Rattus norvegicus: one gene and its partners. The protein of the gene in region 2 purifies or fractionates together with the protein of the main gene of each other region. This does not show direct contact. Links are inferred from orthologs where the notes say so. Each region holds a gene or a part of one and is shown on either strand. Other genes may lie near its edges.

Region 1 (3,655 bases), on a different chromosome or scaffold from region 2:
CTGCCTGCATTCGCCTCTGTATTTGCTGTATTCTGGCTGTGTCTCTCAGGAAAGAGCTACATCCGGCTCCTGTCGGCCTAAACTTCTTTGCTTCATCCATCTTGTCTAATTGGGTGGCTGTGTATGTATGGGCCACATGTGGGGCAGGCTCTGAATGGGTGTTCCTTCTGTCTCTGTTTTAATCTTTGCAACTCTATTCCCTGCAAAGAGTATTCTTGTTCCCCTTTTAAAGAAGGAGTGAAGCATTCACATTTTGATCATCCATCTTGAGTTTCATGTGTTCTGTGCATCTAGGGTAATTCAAGCATTTGGACTAATAGCCACTTATCAATGAGTGCATACCATGTGTGTTTTTCTGTGATTGGGTTACCTCACTCACGATGATATTTTCCAGTTCCAACCATTTGCCTACGAATTTCATAAAGTCATTGTTTTTTGATAGCTGAGTAATATTCCATTGTATAGATGTACCACATTTTTTGTATCCATTCCTGTGTTGAAGGGCATCTAGGTTCTTTCCTGCTTCTGGCTACTATAAATAAGGCTGCTATAAACATCGTGGAGCACGTGTCTTTGTTATATGTTGGGGCATCTTTTGGGTATATGCCCAAGCAAGGTATAGCTGGGTCCTCAGGTAGTTCAATGTCCAATTTTCTGAGGAACCTCCAGACTGATTTCCAGAATGGTTGTACCAGTCTGCAATCCCACCAACGATGGAGGAGTGTTCCTCTTTCTCCACATCCTCACCAGCATTTGCTGTCACCTGAGTTTTTGATCTTAGCCATTCTCACTGGTGTGAGGTGAAATCTCAGGGTTGTTTTAATTTGCATTCCCTTATGATTAAAGATGTTGAACATTTCTTTAGGTGTTTCTCAGCCATTCGGCATTCCTCAGCTGTGAATTGTTTGTTTAGCTCTGAACCCCATTTTTTAATAGGGTTATTTGTTTCCCTGCAGTCTAACTTCTTGAGTTCTTTGTATATTTTGGATATGAATCCTCTATCAATTGTAGGATTGGTAAAGATCTTTTCCCAATCTGATGGTTGCCGTTTTGTCCTAACAACAGTGTCCCTTACAGAAGCTTTGTAGTTTTATGAGATGCCATTTGTCGATTCTAGATTTTAGAGCATAAGCCATTGGTGTTTTGTTCAGGAAATTTTCTCCAGTGCCCATGTGTTCAAGATGCTTCCCCACATTTTCTTCTATTAGTTAGAGTATCTGGTTTGATGTGGAGATCCCTGATCCACTTGGACTTAAGCTTTGTACAGGGTGATAAGCATGGATCGAGCTTCATTCTTCTATATGCTGACCTTCAGTTGAACCAGTACTATTTGCTGAAAATGCTATCTTTTTTCCATTGGATGGTTTTGGCTCCTTTGTCAAAAATCACGTGACCATAGGTGTGTGGGTTCATTTCTGTTTCTTCAATTCTGTTCCACTGGTCTATCTGTCTGTCTCTGTACCAATACCATGCAGTTTTTATCACTATTGCTCTGTAATACTGCTTGAGTTCAGGGATAGTGATTCCCCCTGAAGTCCTTTTATTGTTGAGGGTAGGTTTAGCTATCCTGGGTTTTTTGTTATTCCAGAGGAATTCGCAAATTGTTCTGTCTAACTCTCTGAAGAATTGGATTGGAATTTTGATGGGGATTGCATTGAATCTGTAGATTGCTTTTGGTAAAATGGCCATTTTTACTATATTAATCCTGCTGATCCATGAACATGGGAGATCTTTCCATCTTCTGAGGTCTTCTTTGATTTCTTTCTTCAGAGGCTTGAAGTTCTTATCATACAGATCTTTCACTTGCTTGGTTAAAATCACACCAAGGTATTTTGTATTATTTGGGACTTTTATGAAGGGTGTCGTTTCCCTAATTTCTTTTTTGGCTTGTTTCTCTTTTATGTAGAGGAAGGCTACTGATTTATTTGAGTTAATTTTATACCCAGCCACTTTGCTGAAGGTGTTTATTAGGTTTAGTAGTTCTCTGGTGGAACTTTTGGGATCACTTAAATATACTATCATATCATCTGCAAATAGTGATATTTTGACTTCTTCTTTTCCGATCTGTATCCCCTTGATCTCCTTTTATTGTCTGATTGCTCTGACTAGGACTTCCAGCATTTTCCTCTAAAGTAGTATCTGTCTTTGTCATTGAGGAATGTTTCTTGTATGCAGTATATTTTTAAAGATATATTTGTGTATGTGTTTGAGTGCATGTACAGATTAGGGTTGATGTCGGTTATCTTCTTCAATCATTTGCCAACTTAGTTTTTAATTTTAAAATGCAGACTGTTAATGAATACAGAACTCAGTGATGCAGTAAGATTAGTTGGCCAGCAAGTTCCAGTGATTCTCCATTCTCTGCCTACTCAGTGGTTAGGATTATAGTAGCATACCAATTTCCCTTTTTTTTTTTCCCTTACATAAGGTTTTTTTTGTGTAGGTCTGGCCATTCTAAACCTGATTCCAAAGAATAGGCTGGACTCAAACTCAGGGATCTACCTGTCTCTGCCTCTAGAGAGCTAGGATTAAAGGCAAGGGCTACCACTTCTTGGCCGTACCAGCTTTTTACAACTTAAGTTCAATGGACGGAACAGAGGTACTCCTGCTCTTGTGCAAAGCACTTTGCTTACTCAGGCTCAAGTGCTTATAGCAAAAAGACTAATACTTAGCTCCTCTATACTCAGTACTCTTGAGATACTCTTCTTCCCAATTATGCTGTAACAAAACCTGGGTATGTACTCAAGGAATTTACAAAGATGTACGTAATCTTTTCTCCTTTATGTAAAATAAATTTGACAATACATAAACAAAACAAGTGTTCCCAGTAAAGGAAGACTATCAAATAAAAGTTATAGTAGAAATCATAAAATAATGAGTCTAGCTAGAGAAAATAGGAAAGATTCGTGGAAATACTCAAAAACCAAACAACGGCCTAGAGAAGTGACATGTGTAGAATAAAGACATAGCTAGAAAACAATAGGTCCTGGTTAAAAAAATCAAATGTCTACTTATAGTAAAATAAACCCCTAAAATAGATATCACATATAATGATATTTATGCTTTTTATGACTAAACTTTGTTTGATACTTACACTTAATAACTTTTTCCTTGAAAAATATTCAAATTGAGAATTTTGGAAAAAATTTAAAAGTTGTCATTATTTGAAGTCTATTTCAAATACTTAGTATATTTAAAATATTGACAAACATGATCAACATAATTTGTCCTGTTTATAATTTTACACTACAAAATCAAGCATTCATATTTTTCTAAAAGTATGAAAAGACACTTTTAAAAATTAGTATCTATACCATAGTAAATCACATATTAGACAAAATGTCTTCGTATGAAAGGACATACCTGACGAGCATCTCCACGAGAGGCCAGGCTCCTTTCATACAAGTTGGACACTGAAATAGCTCTAAGTAGTATCTTGACATGGCTGGTGACTTCCAAGGAGGATGCAGATGAAGAAGAGCTGATAATATATGAAAGTATCGACCAGAAAATGTATCTATATTATCCTATTATTGAAAATAAATAAAAATAGAATAATGTTAACAGTTAACAGTTTTATCCATTAATTTAGTGTAAAACTAGAGTAGTAATTCTAGCCTACCCTTGTGAACAACACATCAGAAAATCTTAACTG
Region 2 (3,655 bases):
AAATGCCAACCACTAGTTGGGCATGGTGTCACCTTTAATCAATCCCAGCACTTGGGGGGCAGGGGCAGGGGCAGGGGCAGGGGCAGGGGCAGGGGCAGGGGCAGATCTCTGTGAGTTTGAGGCCAGCCTGGTCTACAGAGAGAATTCCAGGACAGTCAGGGCTGTTATACAGAGAACCAGTCTGGAAAAAACAAAACCCAAAACACCCTCCACCTGCCGCCACATGACAATAATGAAAGAATACTAGAAAGTAAACCACATGACAATAATGAAGATTGTCTCTAAAGTCTTTTAAACAGGTTTCCTGATATACTCCCAAAGTCAAGAGTAGAAATGCCATATTTTGCCCTAAATCTTAGTTCACAAGTATGATGATCCTCACAGGCTCATAGAGAGTAGCACTATTAGGTGTGACATGTGGCTTCGTTGGAGAAAATGTGTCAGTGGGGGTGGGCTTTGAGGTTTCACATGCTCCAGCCAGGCCCGGGTCACTTCTCCTTGCTGCCTGCCAATCCAGGTGTAGAACTCTTGGCTACCTCTCCAGCATTCTAGCTGCCTGCATGCTGCCACTTCCACACCAGACTTTCAACTATAAGTAAGCCTCAGTTAAACATTTTCCTTTATAAGAGTTGCTGTAGTTATGGTATCTCATCACAGCAAAATACCACTGACTAAGACAACATGTAATAGAGTTTTCTGATACCAATAAAACCTGGGTCCTCTGCAAAAGCAGCTGGCGCTCTTATCTGCTGAGTCATCCTACCCAGACCATCTAAGAACAGGCTGGTAGATCTTTGAGGCCTGGTCTACACAGTGAGTTCCAGGCCAGTAAGGGCTATATAATGAGACTGTTTAAAAGGAGACAGGATTTCTAGGGCAAGACTATTGTATATATGTACATGAAGGCATAATCACTCACATAGGCCCCTGCTAAGGCGAAGGTAAACACTGGTAGTCTTCCTGTATCACTATGACCGTATTTACTTATTGGCTGTGGAAGAGAACACATCCATAGCAAGCCAGTGGAGGTCAGAGGACAACCTCAGGAGTCTGCTGTCTCCTACCATCTGGTTCCTGGAGACGGAATCTGGATTGTCAGGCTTGGTGACAAGCACCCTTTCCAACTGGACATCTTGCCTAGCCCATTTCATCTTACTCTTTAAGAAAGGGTCTTCCTGAACCTGGAGCTACAATCACTGGCCAGTGAGCCCCTATGATCTTCCCATATATACTTTCAGCTATATACAGGAGTTGCCAAGATGTGTTGCCACTCCGAGCCTGCAGATGGGTCCTCAGAATCTGAACTTAGGCCCCTTGTACTTGTGCAGTAAGCATTTTACACAAAAACATCTCCCCTGCCTACAGGGCAGATTTTTGCATAGTACAAAATATCCTTTTATACTTAAAAAAGGTTTAACCACTATTTTCTATAAATCCAGAATTTTATTAAAATAGAACACTCCAGTAGTTTTAAGAAAAACTTGACAGGAGTTGGGCAGTGGTGGCACATGCCTGCAGCCCCAGCACTTGGGAGGCAGAGACACCTGGATCTTTTTGAGGTGGAGGACAACCTGGTCTACAGCGTTCCAGGCTGGCCAGGGCTATACAGAGAAACCCTGTCTTCAAAATCCAAAACCAAACAAACAAGCAACAAAACTTGCCATGAACTGTGTCCTTGGAAGGAGAATACTACCTTAACTGGGCACTACTAACAGGGAACCTAGCGTAACATCAAGAGCCCTAGAGAGGGCCAAAATCCACTGTATTATATACTAAATTACTGTCTTCTCGATATGCCCAGAGCAATAAACACCTACACTCATGTCTAACATATCTAGAGGAACACCAAAGCACTATATAAAATCTACATCATTTAAACAGAAACAAGGACATATAAATGAATTAAGCATTAATATGGACATGGAAGAGAAACAGCCAGCTGAGTTTGCATAAAAACATACATGGGGCTGCCGACATGGCTGAGTGGTTCAGAGTGAGAGCTTGTACTGCTCTTATAGAGAACTAGAATTCAGTGCCTGGCACACATGTCTGGTGACTCAGTCACTACAATGCCAGCTTCAAGGAACCTGACACCTCTGGCCTCCACAGGCCTGCATCACATGCACAGACTCCCACGTAGATACGTGTGAATAGGGACACAGGCACAAGCACTGCTGTAACTTGAGAAGGAGCACTGGCTCTTCCTGCCTCATTTTATTCCCCTAGGAACCATGGGTTTAATATGGATTTTTTTTTCTGCTTAAAGTGAGAACAATTCATTTATCCACTTAATAGTGTGCATGGGGTGCGCATCATCTCTAGAAGCCGGAGTGCAGCTTTCTTGAGGTGGTTCTTTGCTTCTACCGTGTAGGGCCGGGGCACTGAACTCAGGTAGTGAGGCTTGGTGGTAAACGCCTTCACTCCTGAGCTATTTTGCTAGACCCTAGGAGTTTACTGAGTAGGAAATACAGTAGGTACCCACTATAAGCCCCAAACAATTCTCTTACCCGAAACAGCCACTTTAACACAGGTACAGGACATTGGACGTAGTGGTATGCAGTGGTAAGGAAGCCTTGTGTTGTCAAAAAAATCTGATCTGTTTTTCCTGATCTGGAAACAGAAAATCAGTGATGGTTACCCATGGAAAAAACCTCTTGCACACACACTGGGCATAATCAGAGAAATGAGGAAGCAAACTTCAGCTGATGGGGTGGATTCCACACTAACATGGAGCAGGTTCCCACGTAACTGATGCCCATCTGACTCCTCTGTGGGCAGAGGCACATTTGTATGCAGTGCTCAGACTACCAAGTCTGAGGACACGAGCTTTTGCCATTTTAGGGGTGAACTTTCCTAAAACTCAGCACCAGAGTCCACATGGTCTTTACAGACTTGAAATGCCACACACTCAGAACAATTATCCTAGTCAGGCATTGGACAGAGCGAGCCTAAGAACTATCTATCCCAATATCTCTTTTTGTCTTTCTCAGTGGTACTGAAGTTCTGATTTTTAGCTGCGCAAAATCACTTGCTATATGTGCTACTGCTGACAGTTCACCCAATCAGCCACAAGCAAAGGCAAGCTCCAGCTCTATGTGCTTTCTGCGAATCTGAGCGGGAAGCGAGCACTGCAATACAATGGAGCAGTAGACAGTACTAGTGGAGGAAAAACACAGCAAAACAAGAGACCAGAGCCAGGACTCTCTAGCCATGAATAAAACAAACAGGGGTTGGGGATTTAGCTCAGTGGTAGAGCGCTTGCCTAGGAAGCGCAAGGCCCTGGGTTCGGTCCCCAGCTCAGTGGTAGAGCGCTTGCCTAGGAAGTGCAAGGCCCGGGGTTCGGTCCCCAGCTCCGAAAAAAAGAACCAAAAAAAAAAAAAAAAAAAAAAAAAAAACCAAAACAAACCTTGGTCAAACTCCAGCTTCTGACAGCCACTGTTATTACTGTTGTCACCGGTGACCCTTTCCTTTTGTGGTACTGGGAATATGTTTTTGGAGAAAAGGTCCTGCTCTGTAGGCTCAGAGTGACACCAAACTTGCGATCTTCCTGCCCCAGCAATTCTAGGATTACAGCTGTGAACTGCCATGGCTGGATTTTACATAATCAGTTCTCCACTTTGAGATAATATCTCTTATGGCCCAGCAGGCTTAAAAC
Region 3 (3,655 bases), about 24 Mb from region 2:
CTACTTAATAATTGGTCATATCAGCCAATCAACACATTTTAATAATAAATGTATTATTTCCTGATTTCACTTTTTCAAAAGCAGTGTAACTTTTGGGGAGGCAGGGTTGAAACAGAGTTCAGTTCTTTTTTTTTTTTTTTTTCGGAGCTGGGGACCGAACCCAGGGCCTTGCGCTTCCTAGGCAAGCGCTCTACCACTGAGCTAAATCCCCAACCCCCAGAGTTCAGTTCTGTTTGTAGGTATTGAATTTGGGATCATCCTGCCTCCACCCACAACGGCCACCATGCCCAGCACACAAAAACTAGAACTTATACACATCACACCAGTATCTTATTAAACAAAACATATTTTAGATTCATTCTACAATTATCTTTAGAAACAAACCTCTCAATTAGTTTTATGAATTTCTGTTGAATTCTTACTCTGTACCCAAACAGAGTACCCTGTGGTTTTCTGTGTCAGGTAGTATAAAACAAAACCTTCCAGGATATGACAACTACAAACTATACTAGCCTTTTTCTATGCTTAGTGGATATTTCATTATCTGTGAACGTTGATACATTCAAGATTTTAAAAGTACACAATACTACTATTTAAAAATGCATTGTAGCTATTTTGATATTACTCTGAGTAGCTATGCAGAAAGGTTTCACTGTCGGACAAAGCCTAGGAACACAAGAGACAGAATGAATGCAGAGTGTGAACTAAGGGAGAGAGTGAATGCAGTGTGAACTGAAGGGACAAAGTGAATGCAGAGTGTGAACTGAAGGGACAGAGTGAATGCAGAGTGTGAACTGAAGGGACAGAGTGAATGCAGAGTATGAACTGAAGGGAGAGAGTGAATGCAGTGTGAACTGAAGGGACAGAGTGAATGCAGAGTGTGAACTGAAGGGACAGAGTGAATGCAGAGTGTGAACTGGAAGGTAGCATTGCTTAGTCGGACTCTGACATAGCAGCGTAGAACTGAAAGAAGGTATCATCTCGGAAGACTCAGCACCTGGAAACCCCTCTTTAGAGACAAGACCCCTAAAACCACTTGCCTTTTTCTTCTCAGTATCACCCTTGCTTGCTGTTTGTGAAGCACAAACGACTTACTAGTTTCCACAAATGTTTTACACTCCAACAGTCCCTCTCAACGACGGTTAAGAGGGAAAGACTTTAATTGTGAAAATGAATGCTGTCATTTCAAGATAATGCCCATACTTTAAAACTAAGCAAGGACTGGTGACTAAATCTGAGAGAAAGCTATATAAAGTTACTTTATGTACACTATCAATGGTATAAGAATGGGAAAAGGCAGAGTTTTAAATACCACTTTGTGTTTTCATGTCCTGTGACTATGCCTAGAGTAGGACATCTTAAACTGGAAATACTGTGTTATGTCAAACGCAGCATTATTTATTTTTATACTTACTGTCTGAAATTCTTGGGGAACGGCTTGGTCTGCACTCAGGTTACATACTTGCCTAGCTCTCTTCATAAGTTCCTTGCACTTCTGTAACAATCTCTGCCTATTGTCATCCAATTCAATAAACTGTTGCTGTTAAAAAAAATTTCAAAATGTTACTACTAAATCAGAGGTTTGTTGTATAAAGCAATCACATATTGAATAAATTGCTGAATTCTGATTATGAGAACCGTGTCTTCTGAACCATGACTTTTTTATAATAAAGGTGCATTAGCCTTTTATTATGAAGGTAAAAATTTAAACTTTAAAATATCAGAGCCAGTATCTCTCTAATATGTAAGAAACCTAAAGTTTACTCTTTTATAAATGTTTAATTTTAATGGAACATTATCATACACAGGCTTCACATAAGAAACATAGCATCCAATTATAAATTTTAAAATTACTTTTCAAATGTTTTCTCTATTTATCATTCATTCATGGACTTATTCATTTCCTAGCAGTTAATTAGCAAGATCCATGAGATGCCAATATTATATTCTGTATTAAGTACTGAGTGGTGAATATGGCAAGACCCACAGAACCATCATCATAACAGAAACAGACATTATCTACTGAGTACATGGGTGCTTCCCACCAAAGTTTTCTCTCCTTTCCCTACTCTCTGTCCCCACTCCATTTTGGGAAGGTAGGGCTGTAGAAGCAGGGTCTCATGTAGCCCAGGCTGGCTTTAAACTTGTTATGTTGCCAAGAGTGACCTTGAACTCCTGATCCTCCTGCTTCCCAAGTAAGGGGATTACAGTCACATAGCCCTATGCCTAGACCTTGCATCTTTTATTTCCCACAACACTACATAGTAACAGGCTCAAAAGAGGATGGAGAGATGGCTCACAACTACAGGTCTAGGGAATCCGCTGGGCTCCTTGTACATACACCCAAGCCCCTAATACATATATTTAAAAAGGCAAAGTTATTTATTTACTCATTCATCCAGTTGTTTATTTATTGACTTATTTATTTATGTTTCTCGAGACAGGATTTCTCTGTGTAGCCTTAACTGTCCCGGAACTAGCTCTGTAGACCAGGCTATCCACCAACCCAAAGATCTGCTTGTGCATCCTTCCCCACCCCCCAGTGCTGGAATTACAGGTGTGTACCACCACCACCAGGCCAGATAAAAGTATTTTTAAAAAACTAATTAAAAAAACCATTTGAGTTCACACATTTAAAGACTACTAACTCCCACATTCGTTCCTGCTTATAAGAAACCCTACCTACTCTGAGGTGAGAATGTATCTCCCAGAACAACAGAAGCTCCACCTGTAAAGTCTCACCAGCGTAACTGCCCAAACGTGAGTTAAAGCCCATGGAGCCTCAGTCCTACAGGTAACTGAGGAAAGCTGGGAGCAGAAGAGATGGCCCTACCCAGGGAAGAGAACAAAAATTGTTTCTCCAGTGTCAAATGGTCAGCCCCACAAACTTACATAAAAGCAATATATGTATATACTCAACAGGCTATATTTGGAAACACACACACACCAGATTTATATATGTGAGTATGTAAAAGTACATATATACATGCAGTAACAACTGATGAAAAAAAGGAGGCCATGAATCTGAAGGAGTGTGGAGGAGCATATGAAAGAATTTAGAGGGAAACAATGTAATTCTAACATACTCTCAAAAACAAACAAACTAAATTTAAAAATCAAAATGGGGTGGGGGAACACCTTATATTTGGAGAAAGGGTTTCCTGAATTATGGGCTCACCTTCAAACTTACTCTGTAGCCAAGGTTACCACTAGATGCCTCATCTTTCTGCTTCTACCTCACAAATGCTGCCACCATAAAGTACTGTTGCTTGTCCTATACAGCACATGCCCCTTTTGTCATAATAAATGCTTTTCAGTGAATGCAGTGTGGAGCATGTGTAAGTAAGAAATAGAATACAGGATGGAAGTCAGAGTGATCATGGAAGCTGTGCTAACTGCACAGCTTTAATGGGGAAAAATTACTAAGAACCAGTTATGGAAAAAATTTAAAGATAGATGATTATGAATATATAGACACAGAAGCCTCAAAGATACACTTGGCTAGTTAGTAACATAATATGACTGGAGGAGAGGCATCTATAAGGATATAAGAATTTAGCCTTACTAAGGTGGACAAAGGCCAGTCTTTGAAGTTTCATGTATGAGGATAAGGGTATCTACCCTATCTAATGCACTTCTAGACCAAGCATTATCA

What was found.
Region 1: the proteins of Slf2 (region 2) and Slf1 purify together in Homo sapiens (co-immunoprecipitation; 3 studies listed by BioGRID and IntAct, with this or other methods). This does not show direct contact. The link is inferred for Rattus norvegicus from reciprocal best matches to the Homo sapiens genes SLF2 and SLF1.
Region 3: the proteins of Slf2 (region 2) and Smc5 purify together in Homo sapiens (affinity purification with mass spectrometry; 3 studies listed by BioGRID and IntAct, with this or other methods). This does not show direct contact. The link is inferred for Rattus norvegicus from reciprocal best matches to the Homo sapiens genes SLF2 and SMC5.

The regions. Positions count from the first base shown.
Region 1 is NC_086020.1:8,554,161-8,557,815, forward strand, and holds part of Slf1 (SMC5-SMC6 complex localization factor protein 1), read right to left. Parts: intron 3,528-3,655; coding exon 3,364-3,527; intron 1-3,363. UniProt on the Homo sapiens protein: Plays a role in the DNA damage response (DDR) pathway by regulating postreplication repair of UV-damaged DNA and genomic stability maintenance.
Region 2 is NC_086019.1:253,752,448-253,756,102, reverse strand, and holds part of Slf2 (SMC5-SMC6 complex localization factor protein 2), read right to left. Parts: intron 2,611-3,655; coding exon 2,508-2,610; intron 1-2,507. UniProt on the Homo sapiens protein: Plays a role in the DNA damage response (DDR) pathway by regulating postreplication repair of UV-damaged DNA and genomic stability maintenance.
Region 3 is NC_086019.1:230,210,059-230,213,713, forward strand, and holds part of Smc5 (structural maintenance of chromosomes protein 5), read right to left. Parts: intron 1,541-3,655; coding exon 1,415-1,540; intron 1-1,414. UniProt on the Homo sapiens protein: Core component of the SMC5-SMC6 complex, a complex involved in repair of DNA double-strand breaks by homologous recombination.